3 linked regions of the Callithrix jacchus genome follow. The protein of the gene in region 1 interacts with the protein of each later gene in a biochemical or structural test. Links are inferred from orthologs where the notes say so. Each region holds a gene or a part of one and is shown on either strand. Other genes may lie near its edges.

Evidence for each region.
Region 2: the proteins of FLNA (region 1) and ITGB1 form a complex in vitro, tested with the Homo sapiens proteins (3 studies listed by BioGRID and IntAct). The link is inferred for Callithrix jacchus from reciprocal best matches to the Homo sapiens genes FLNA and ITGB1.
Region 3: the proteins of FLNA (region 1) and ASB2 form a complex in vitro, tested with the Homo sapiens proteins (3 studies listed by BioGRID, with this or other methods). The link is inferred for Callithrix jacchus from reciprocal best matches to the Homo sapiens genes FLNA and ASB2.

What each region holds. Positions count from the first base shown.
Region 1 is NC_133524.1:150,150,659-150,154,301, forward strand, and holds part of FLNA (filamin-A), read right to left. Parts: coding exon 3,347-3,643; intron 3,265-3,346; coding exon 3,091-3,264; intron 3,007-3,090; coding exon 2,844-3,006; intron 2,768-2,843; coding exon 2,607-2,767; intron 2,516-2,606; coding exon 2,345-2,515; intron 1,995-2,344; coding exon 1,871-1,994; intron 1,785-1,870; coding exon 1,628-1,784; intron 1,103-1,627; coding exon 913-1,102; intron 754-912; coding exon 730-753; intron 1-729. UniProt on the Homo sapiens protein: Promotes orthogonal branching of actin filaments and links actin filaments to membrane glycoproteins. Anchors various transmembrane proteins to the actin cytoskeleton and serves as a scaffold for a wide range of cytoplasmic signaling proteins.
Region 2 is NC_133508.1:32,641,321-32,645,609, forward strand, and holds the start of ITGB1 (integrin beta-1), read right to left. Parts: upstream 2,817-4,289; 5' UTR 2,741-2,816; intron 1-2,740.
Region 3 is NC_133509.1:128,773,592-128,777,234, forward strand, and holds part of ASB2 (ankyrin repeat and SOCS box protein 2), read right to left. Parts: intron 247-3,643; coding exon 142-246; intron 1-141. UniProt on the Homo sapiens protein: Substrate-recognition component of a SCF-like ECS (Elongin-Cullin-SOCS-box protein) E3 ubiquitin-protein ligase complex which mediates the ubiquitination and subsequent proteasomal degradation of target proteins.

The sequences.
Region 1 (3,643 bases):
GCCACAAAACTCTAGCCACCCTCTAACCCTCTCCTTGGCCACCTTGCCCAAGTGCCAGGCCTGCAGACTCTTATCAGCATCCCTGGGTGTCCCTGTTGAATGTCTGAATAACGTCACTGCTGGGGGATCAGGGAGGGGGAAGGAGGGAGACGGGCCACAGAATGCACTTTGGGGCTCTGAGGCTGGGCTGCGCCCCGCCATGCTGGCCGCCCAAGCAGTCAACACTGGTGCTACTGCACTACCAGCCAGCCCCACCCGCTCATGCACCTCCCCCAGCCCGGGACACAGAGGCCCCTGGAAGGTGGGGATGGGAGTCTGTGGATCTGGCCAGGGCTGGGGCTCCCATTGTGTTGGGGAGACCCCTTGTTCCCTCAGCCCACGCAGGAGCCCTTGTGTTTCCCTGGGTGCCAAGATCCCGAGACCCCAAAGTCCCCAGTGGGGTGCCTCTCAGGATGCACCTCACCCCAAAGCTCTCAGCTGCAACCCGAGTTCTCAGATGGGGAAATAGAGGCCCAGAGAGGGGAGGGCTGGAGCGATCATGCTCAGCTCCGGAAGCCTCCCTGGGCCCTCGCCCTCCCGCCCATGGCCTCATCTTCTGTGCCCCCCACCCCCACTCTATCCCTGCCTAGAGCTGCAGCTGGAACTGTCCTGGGAATTGGCCCCAAGAGGAAAGGAAGCTGCCCCTCTGGACAGGAGGGGCATTGGGAGTGGCCCCAGCAAGCAGCTTACCTAGCCCGTGACCTCCGATTGACACTGAGGTGAGAGGGCAGAGAGCAAGGAGAAAGGTCAGGTGAGTCACTCAAGGGGGCGGCCCCCACTCCCACACGCCGCCCCAAGCAGCGAGCCCTTGCACACAGGCACAACCCAAGCCCCGTGCCGAGCACAGCGGCGGCCAACGGCAGGCTGGCTCACCTGTGACTGTGCACTTGCTGGCGTCCCCGGTGGGCACGGCGCGAACGCGGTATGGGGAGAAGGGGATCTCATCACCACCGTACTTGATGAGGATGGTGTAGCGACCCGTCATGTCTGGCACATAGGCCACTGTGTAGGTGCCGTCATGGTTGTCTTGAATGTGTGTCTTCTTTGGCTTGCCCTCGGGGTCCTGTGTGGCAGAGGCAGGGGAGACAGTTGGCCTCCCGGAGTGGCCAGCGCCGCTGCTACAGGGATAGCCTCTGGGCCCCAGGCCTCTCAACTGCCCTTTATTTCCCTACAGGCAGAGTCCACAAGGGAGACTAAAACATCCAACACCCCCCACTGACAACAGGCACGGCCAGGGAGCCTGGCACCCATCCTCAGCCCCAGGTCCTGTCCAGCACACCCAGGTGATCTCAGGCTTCTCCCTGCCCCATGAGAATGTTACAGGTAGGGACACTGAGGCACAAAAGGCTTTGGTAATGTGCTCAAAGTCAGCAGTGAGCAAGTGCATGTCTGGGGGAGCCCAGGCCTATCGCCACCATCCTAAGTTGGTTACAACCTTAGCAAGCCAAAGGCTGTGGCCCTGTCCTTCCCTGCCCTCCTTGGTGCAGTGCCCCAGGGAGACCAGACGCCAGCCTGCGCCACCGGCAGCCCACACTCCAGCCACCCAGGCCCAGACCCCTTGCCTCCCCTGCCTGTGCCTGGAGCTCACCGTGATCTGGACAGCCAGCAGGCCCTCCCCGGCATCCTTTGCATCGATGGTGAACTCCACGGGCAGGCTGGCGGGCACGCCAGTAGTGTTGAGCCCAGGGCCACTGGCCTTCACCTTGCTGGCATCATGAGTAGGCAGCACCTTGACCTTGAAGGGGCTGTGGGCAAGGGTGTCGTGAGCAGTTAGATAGGCTCTAGGCATCCAGCCTGGACCTCCCCTCAGGCAGCGGGCCCTGCCTCTTACCTCCGGGGTACCTCTTCATCTCCATACAGTACTGAGATGCTGTAGGGCCCTTCTCGGCTGGGCACGTAATTGACGGTCTGGGTGCCATCAGCATTGTCCACCACATCCACTGGCTCCACCAGGCCTAGCCCCAGGCCCAGGGACACAGCCTCAGCTCATATCCTGGGCCTCCACTCCTACCCCGCCTCTCAATGGCCAAGACTCAGCCCCAGGCCTAGACCTTGCTTCATCCCCATCAGCCCGACCCTGGGAATGGCCCTGACCCTCTCTGGCACAAAAGACGCCCATCTGGGTGCCAGCTGGGACCCTTGCCTGCGTGCCGTCCTGCCACATCTGCTAAGTGACAAAGTCCTATCTGTTCTACCTCCTCCCAGTCCCCCTCCTGGCTGCACTGTCATGTGAGGCTCTTCCAAGAACACCTGCACACTAGCAGTCTCCTTCCCGACTCCCAGCTCCAGGCATGCAAACACTCACCTTTGGGCCCTTGCACTTTGACCTGCAGTGGGGCCACACCAGCCTTGCTTGTGTCCACCTGGAAGGACTGAGGAAGGTTGGCACGAACCATGCCAGGACTCAGGCCCGGTCCAGAGCACTTGACCTTGGATGCATCTGTCACATCATGCACAGGTACCTTGAAAGGACTGCCTGAGGGGTGGGGCAAAGGCATGGTGGCTATATGAGACAGGGTGGGGACAAGCAGATAGTCCCAGCCCTGCGCTGGCCGCCACCTCCTCACCTGGCACTTGATGGCCACCATAGGTGACGTTGAGGCTGTAAGTGCCAGGCTCATAGGGGATGTACTCGACTGAGCAGCTGCCGTCCTTGTTGTCCATACAGGACATCTTGGCCTCGGAGGGGCCCTCTACAGCCAGGCCCAGGCCTCCTGTGCCAGCTCCCCTGGTCCAAAGAGACAGCTGCTCATTCTCGGGGTTCCCAGGTCCAGCGGCCACACGGGCACCCGGGGCCCCCTCACCTGGTCTCCACAGTGAACTTGTTGGGCTTGTTGGTGGTGCCGCTTTGGATGCCCGGCCCATGGACACGCACCCGGGAGGGGTCACAGCCCTCGGTCACAGGCACCTGGAAGGGGCTGCTGGGCACAGGGCTGCCATCGTAGGTCACGTCCACAGAGTGCAGTCCTAAAGGAGTGCAGGCCAGGTCAGGAGGAGTCCGGGCTGCGATACCCACCCCGCCCACCGGCCTGCAGGAGCCCCGGCACGGACCCTCCTCATAAGGGGTGTACTCCACTTTGTAGGTGCCGTCGCCGCGGTCCTGCACATAGGTCTCTGTCAGGTTGCCTGACGGGTTGGCCACACGGGCCTTGACGTGTGGCCCTCCAGTCTGTGTGAGGGCCCGGGCGTCCACACTGAACTCAGTGGTGGCCTCTCGGAAGACGCCTGCAAAGGGACACAGGGAGGAGACTTGGGGCTCTGGTCCCTATATCCCCACTGCCACATACCGCACAGCAGGGCCACTCACCCTGGCCCTCAATCCCAGGCCCGTAGCACTGGACGCCGGAAGTGTCCACTGCAGGCTCCACCTGCAGCTTGCTGGGGAAGTTGGGCACAGGCTGGCCTCCATACTTGATGGTGACAGTGTAGGCCCCAGGGCAGAGGGGAATGTATGTGATGGTGTGCGTGCCATCGCCATGGTCCTGGATGTACACCTCGGCTGGTAGCCCTGCCTCTGAGCAGATCTCGATGGTCAGCTCTGCACTGCCCGCGCTGGAGCAGTCCACTTGGAATTGGCCCATCTCCCCAGCGGTGGCCCGCTCCA
Region 2 (4,289 bases), on another chromosome or scaffold:
AATGAATCCTTTCAGATATATGCAGCTTGTTCATATTCAGAAAGTTACATCCTTGGACCTCAAAAGTTCTCTGAAACTTTTACCAGTTACAAGACGTTTCAGCTTATCACACTAGCAATATAGTTAAGAGCAAACCAGAGCACCTACAGAATATTAATATTTTTTCCAGATAGAACATTATACTAGTCTCCGCTATAAGCCACAACTTACTTAGGAAGAAGCCAAACAACAAAGACATTACAATCAGTGGCAAGCACTCTTAGGAAAACTGGCACCATGTTGTTTGACTGCAAAATGTGACCAGATGTCCCCACTGTCACTCCCAAAGTTAGGAAGTGAACACCAATGTAGAATTACATTTTCATTTGTAATGGTAATTTGGGGCTGATTTAAATGATACTGACCAAAGCTAAGAAGAAAGCTGTCTAATTACTAAATCTAGTGGCTTTCAGAATTGTTGATTCCATACTTTTCATGTAGAGAATGTTGAGTGAGGGTAACAAAAAATAATTTCAATATAGACCTTCACATGGTTAAAAAAGAAGTCACAATCATTGTAGGTCTAGGTCTGAAGTCAACATAGACGCATTAAACAGTCTATTTGCTTTCTGTTTACAGAACTAAAGTATTATCCACATTCTTTGTCCTTTTAACCAGCATTCTAATAACATCTTCCACCTTCATACTCAATCTTTGGATAAGTAAAATGGCTTTCTCCCCAAATGCCTGTAGGAAAACACCAAACTTTTTTATTTAACACTTCACCATTTTCAACCACGTGTGTAATATTAATCAATGAGACAACATTATTTAAAAATATAAGAATTACAGTGAGACTCTAAGTCCTGACCCCTCTGGGCCTTGGTGTCCACAAATGAACAGTTAACTGCCAACTAAAGTTCTTAATCATTTCTGAAAGTGGTCTATTACATAGCGTATTTTTAAGGGCATACGTGGTTTAAGAAAGATGTCTAACCTAAATTCCTCTAGCATGTTATTTTTGTACCATCAAAAATACAATTAAAAAAATAAGAACCTAAGAGCCAGGCTTAGGAACTCACACCTGTAATCCCAGCACTTTGGGAGCTCAAGGAGAGAGGACTGCTTGAGTTTGGGGCCAGCCTGGGCAGCATAGTAAGATCCTGTCTCTACAAAAAATTTTAAAAGGGTGCAGGCGCCTGTAATCCCAGCTACTAAGGAGGCTGAGGTGGGAGAGTAACTTAAGCCTGGGAGGTTGAGGCTGCGGTGAGCTGTGATGCACCTCTGCACTCCAGCCTGGGCGACAGAGACCCGGTCTCAAAACAAAACAAAATAACCTAGTAATTCTCCCCACCTGTTATCCATGTGGCATGTTGGTCCAGAGAAATTACTAATGATGTTACCAATTACCTTCTGAGATATTTTTTAACATCTTTTTATTATAAAGAAAGGGCTGAAAAGGAGTCAGTATTCATTAAGCATCTACTCTAAGTGTCTCGCATTTTGCATTTGATTTTCACAACTAGACTATAGTTAGGAAAGTTACTTGTGGTTTAAACGTGGACTCTGGAGCTAGACCCCATGCCTTCTCCAGGAGCTCCTGATGACCACAGGCAACTTACTTTTGCTCCCTGTGCTTCAGTTTCTCACTCAGAAAATGAGAATAAAAACAGTACCGACCTCATTAGAGTGGTTCCAGAATTAAATAATACATGTAAAATTCCTAGACCTAAACTTGGCCCTCATTGTCATTATTATAAAAATGAATAATTTAGTGTAGATATTATTGTTCCTATTTCACAGACAAGGAAACGGAAGCTGAGTGCAACTTACTAATCATACAAATGAGTGCAAAGTTTTTGACTCAAAACAACGAATTTCACGAAATAAAAGTTGCTTAGAGTAGGAGTCTCATAAATTCAATTTATGAAGCCTAAGAAATGACGTGAGGTAAAATGATACTAGACACAGGCCGGCTTTCAGGCTCGCGGACGGGGTCTGAGCGCGGGTGACCGTGGTCCTGCGTCCTGGTCCCGGGGTGCCCGGCAGAGGCTGGCGTCTCTGACTGCCGGGCACTCGCGTTTATAAACACGGGGAGGTGGACGGCACTGCCGCCACCACGCCTCTGGTCCCCAGCGGCTACGCGAGGCCACTTTCTGACCCGGCTCCCACCTCCCCCGCCCGCGGCGCTGGCCTCAAGGCTGCCTCCCGGCAGCGGGAGGACACCAGACCAGTCCCCGCCGCGGGCGCGGACAACCGACTCGACGCTGCTCCAAGGACGGCAGCCAGCGAGGGAGCGGGAGACAAAGGCACAGGACCCGTCCAGGGACGCGCCGAGTCCCAAACGCCGAGCCCCAGGAGACCTCGCTGGCTCCACCTGCGCTCGCCCAGCCGGGTGGGAGACTGCAGGTGTCAGGGGCCGCTCGAGCCCACTGCCCCGCAGCTCCCGCAGCCCCGACGTGACAGCGCCCAAGCCATCTACCCCCGCGCTCGGAACGCGGCCGGGTAGGCTCCGCGCCCGGGGACTACCAGCGCCCGCGACTCGAGGCGGGTGGAAGAGCCAGGCGGGTGGCAGAGCGCGGACTTCCTCCCCGGCGAGCCTGGAATCCCACCCCAGCCCCCACCCGCCGGCGGCCGCCCCCGCCCCCACGCCCGGCACAAAGGTCCCGGCGCGGCCCAGCAGGCGGCCCAAAATGCGGCGGCGCACCAGATCCCTGAGGCCGCGGCCCACGACCCCACGCCCGAGGGCCCCGGCCCCTACCTTCCCCGCGCGGCGTCCGAGCCCGGGCGCGGTGGGTTCGGGCCTGCTGCTCCGCGGCTCCCGCTCGGCCTCTCTCGCGGGCTGGCGGGGCCTCCCAGGTCTCGGGCGCGGCGGGCGGCGGCGGCTCCTCCCCCTCAGGGGCGGGAGGAGGGGACTCGGCGGCCCTGAGCCGCCCCCCGGCAGGAAACTAGCCGCGGCCCCGCCTTCTCTGCGCGTCCGATCCCGCTCCCGAGGCCGCAGCCGCCGCCCGCTCCCTCCGGAAACGCATTCCTCTCCCGCCGCGTCAGCCGGGCCCGGGGCGAGGAGGAGGCAGGAAGCGCTGCCGGGACAAAGGAACCGGCCCGCACGGGAGCGCGCCTTGGGGGAGACTGTGGAGGGCGGGGCAGAGACGCCGCAGAGGCCGTCCCGCGCCTCAGTTTCCTCCTCTGTGAAGGGCGTGAGGGGTCGGGTGCGCCCTAGAGCCCCGCGCGTTCCTGGCGTCGCCTCCTGAGCCAGTGTTTTTTGGTTCCGCTTCCTGGGAGCCGCGCGTCCGACCTCCCTTCCCGTTTGTCCACTGATGTCTCGTTTTGAGCCTGTGAGATCCTGCACCCAGGAAGCCCCCCCTTCCGTCCCAAGGCAAATCGGCACCTGAGCCCCGGACCCTGCAGGGCTCCATGGGGGCAAAAACAACGTGGTCCTTCTGGAAGGGAACTGGCTAAGCCAGGACTGCTTTCCTGGGGTGAGAATGTGCTTGCGTGTGTCTAAGAAAAAGGTGAAGACTTGGGGAAGCCCATGGGTGCCACGAAGGGTGGGGATGGGGAACGTTTTAGAAAATGGTGAGTTGTGGGCTGCTTTTGATAGGTTTATCTGAAAGTCCATTTATTGGGGAACAGGGATGAGAAAGAAAAGTTTCATCCTGAGGTGTATAGTTTCTGTTTCTCCTCACTTTTTTTTTTTTTAAACACTTGGAGATGGGGGCTGGAAACAACGTTTGAAAGAGAAGGAAACATTCATAATGAGAATGGCTGGGCACATATCGATTGGATGATTGAAGTTCCTACCAGCCAACATCATACTGAAACCCCGTAATTCAGTATGTGCTGCTGGCAAGCTGCTATCCTGGTAGCAGAAAATGTTGTGGGCTTTACTTAGTAAGCTGCTGCACCCTGTTAGAAAAAGAGCTCAAAATTTATCAGATTTATTAAACTGAGAAGTAGTGTTTCTCTTGTAGGAGATTAGGGGCTGGGACACCCATTTGGCTGCTGCCAATCCAAAATATAAGAGAAAATGAAGCAATAACATCTTTCTAGAAAATTTGCACATTACTTACCAGCAAAATCTATTGGTTAGCCAATCTCTGAAGACCTCTAGAAAATAATCACTATTTTTCCCACTTAATGGATGTTCAAGCTTAAGAGACTAAATGATGTTCCTATAATATATCAATGATCAAACTGCCATTAGAACTCAACATTCTTGAATTTTAAAGGTATCGGTTTTACCATTGTTTGGAATTCATCAGAATTGGCCCAGTCTCAGCACAGAAAACTGTATAGTACAAAAGCATAAT
Region 3 (3,643 bases), on another chromosome or scaffold:
GAAGGAGCTTGCCTGGCAGGTGCCTCCATAGTGCCCTCTGCCCTCCTGGATGGGGGCTGTGGACCTGCTTCCCACCCTCCCTGCCACCTCAATTAGGGGAGTGAACTTGGATGGCCCTGGGGCCAGACAGGAGTCACTTACGCCAGCTGGGAGGCCTTGAACAAGCTGCTGCTGTATTTCTGCATGACCCCTTGGAACAAGCCCATGGGGGCGCGGGCTGGCGAGCTCTCGGGAGGCGCAGCGGACCTGGAAGGCGCAGAGCAGGAGTGAAAGAGGGAAAAGTACTCTGCATAGGAGAAGCGGGTCATGGCTTCAGGCAGACGCGAGGATGGAGGGAGAGCTGGCGAGAGACTGACTGACGGACAGACACAGCGCTCTGAACCAAAGCAGATGGCTGGGTCCTCTCCGTGTGCTGGACACAGCTGCTGTGTCTCTGGATTATTTTTGGCCCTTGGAGGAAGCCCTGGGAGATTTAAATGACCATATAAGACAACAATGAGGTTAACCTCACCCCACCCCCAGGATCCCCTCCCCAGCCAGCCACAAGGGAGGCAAATACAAAGCAAGGTGACATTCTTCACCCTGGAGGATGTGAGCCAGGGTCAGCAGGTCAGCAGGTCTCAAGATGAAAAGGGCTCAGCCTCACCACTGGCCAGGCAGGTCCCTACAGGGTGGGACGAGAAATGCATGGGGAAGCAGAGGACAGGGGAGCAAAGCTGAGAAACCAAGCTGTGCCTGTGACCCCCCATGCCCACCTGCTGGCTCCTCATTAGGGGATCTTGTCCCAGGGGTGCGAGCAGACACTACAGCAAACTCTATAATGTCACTATAGGATGCACAAGGAAGGTCATCGCAACCAGACACAGGTTCGTGTCCAGGTTCTGGTGCTCCTTGGCCATGTGATGTGGGACAGGTTGACCATCTCTGTGCCTTAGTCCCCCCACCTGCAAGGTGGCATGAAAACAGCCTGTGCTTGAGGGCCAGTGAGGCCTGCGTAAGCGGCTGATGTGAGGAGCTTGGTGGAGTGAGCGCAGAGGGGGTTGCACACGTGCTCGCTGTTACTTTTCTCGTCATTTTCCTCTCTAAGCCTCAGTTTCCCACCCTGCCAGGCTCTTGAGAGGGTGGAAGGGCTGGAAGAAGGAGGATGGCCGCTCCACACATCTGAGTCGGCCTGGGGTCCTCGTGAGAACAGGGTATGTGGTCCCTGCTGACCCCACCCCCAGGAGGTCAGGCCTGGCGCTCTCACACCCCAGTGGGCCTGGCCTTTCCCCACACTTTTCTTGGGGGATTGGGGAGGATTCTGCTACCAGTGACTCACACCCTGTGGAGCATGAGGTAATTGTGACCCTGAGAAACACTCGCACTCTTTCAGGCCAGGCCAGTGCCTAAAGATTCTGTGAGTACCCCCGGCAAGGCCAGGGCCTGGTGGAGAGGAGCAGGGCCGGTGAGAGGAGGGAGACATGCTCACCCCTCTGCTTCACCCTCTCAGGGTTGGCTGTAGGCCTGGCCGCCTTCCTCACCCTCACTGCAGTCACTCCTTCCCACCTTCCTTCTCCCGCCCCCTGCTCCCGGCCTTCTACTGACCCGCACCGGGGTGGAGGGGACACCTCCTGCAGGTGTCCTCATTCATCCTCATCCATCGACTGTAGATGGGGGTGCCTTTTACAGATAAGGACACGGAGGCTGTGAGCGCAGGGTCACCTGCAGCGGGGCAGCGAGTGAGCAGAGGTTCAGTCCGCTGCTGTCTGCCCAGCTCTGATGCCACCCTGTCCTCTGAAGGCCTGGCCTCTTTCTGCCTTCTCATTCTCTCTCCAGCTCTCCGACCTCCACACTGACCAGCCCTGCAGCTTTGAACAAGCCCCGTCCCCTCTCTGTGCCTCAGTTTTCTCATTTGCAAAATGGAGAAGTGAAACTGGGACCAGACTGGGAACGTCTTCACTGCTTCTGCAGCTGTGGAGAAAGTCCATGTCCAGCAGATCTCAGAGCCAGGGCCCCTCGTCAGCCCTACTAGTTGCTGGACTTAGTGTCCTCTGCGTTAGCACCTGGTCCTGAGAAGGAGTGAGAGCCAGGCAGGTGGAGGCAGCCTGGGGCCAGGCTCACCTCGGCCGTCTCCAGCCGCGTCGTCTTGATGAGGCCCTGAGCTTCCACCTCCCAGGATCCTTGGGTCATGGCTGCCCTCATGCTTAGTCCACGTGTGGCCTCCAATCACCCGCCATCATTAGAATGTTTTTAGCAGGATAATAAAGCATTGGTAAAAAGCCCACTGCACCGTTCTAAACTAGAACCCATTGCTGCATACTAACAGCAGCCATGGTGGCCGGGAGGTTGAGGCTGCTGGAGGTGGAGGGAGATGGTGATGATGACAGCTTCTGACAACTGTGCAGAGCAGACACGTTCGCGAAGGCATGACTCTCCTCTCCTCATTTCCATCCTCCTGCCGTCATTGATGAGGCAGCAGCTATGCTGTTCCAATTTGCAGATGAGGAAACAGACAGACTGAGTTCCGTTCAACAAGGATTTCCCAGCTCTGGCTGGCCATGCAGCTCATTAAGACATACCTTTCTGTGGATCCTGAGGATGTTGGGAAGCCATCAGGGAGGGAAACGAGGTCACACACAGACACAGAGTCACAGAGGATGCACTGAGGTCGAGGCAGGAGGGCTCGTTCTGGGAGCACTGAGATCGGGGTGCTTTGGGGGCTATGCAAGGCAACTGCTCAGAGTTACTGAGCCCTGAGTCTCAGGGCTGGCTGGGGAGCCAGGGCCCCTGACTGGGTTTTGTGCTCTTGCTGATCGAGGCTAGAGGCCCTGATTCCCCTCTGGCCCCAAGCAGGGGAATTCCAAGCAGAGCAGACCTCCTGGGCTGAGTCATGGGAGGTGCGAGGAGCCTGGCCTCTGCAGGATGTGGTGCAGGTCATGGCCTGGAGGAGCCCAGGTAGGGCCTCTGTCCTTTGTGTGTCACTGGGCAGGCTCTGGGGTGAAGAGATGTCACCATCACCTGACCCTGGAGTCCAACTTGTCGTGGATTCAGACCTATCAGGCTCCGTGAGAGCAGAGAATGGGCTGGGGGGACAGTGTATCTTGTCACTTGGTGGGTCAACGCATGGCTGCCCTGTCTGAGTCAGCAAGAAGCCAGGACAGCCCCAGGGAGGCAGTGACTGGGCTGGGCCTGGCTGAAGGCAGGAGGCAAGTAGGCATCTTAACAGAGGAGAGAGCTAACAAACCCAAGATTCCACCTCACACCCACCACCGTGCCATGAGTCCACCCCACACCCCCCACAGTGCCATGAGAGTCCACCCCATGCCTGCCACTGTGCCAGGCCCTCTGTTCTCACCCTAGAGCCTCATGGCGACCTATGTCAAGCCCAAATATCAAGAGTATGATGCGTAGCACACAGTAGGCGCTTGATAAATTTAAGTAAATAAAACAAACCATCAAACAAAAGTCACTGAAGGATGAAAACCACACATGGCAATCTTGGTACTGTATGTTTGTGGACCAAGGTCTCATACTGCTGGAGAGCCGTCCCCTGCCCTCTCGGGTAGAGAGAAGAGCTCACAGCATGTAACTAACTCCCACCCTGGTTCCTGCACGGTCTCTGGAATCGGCCTCCTACCCACGAGGTTTCTGTTTTTCCCTCATT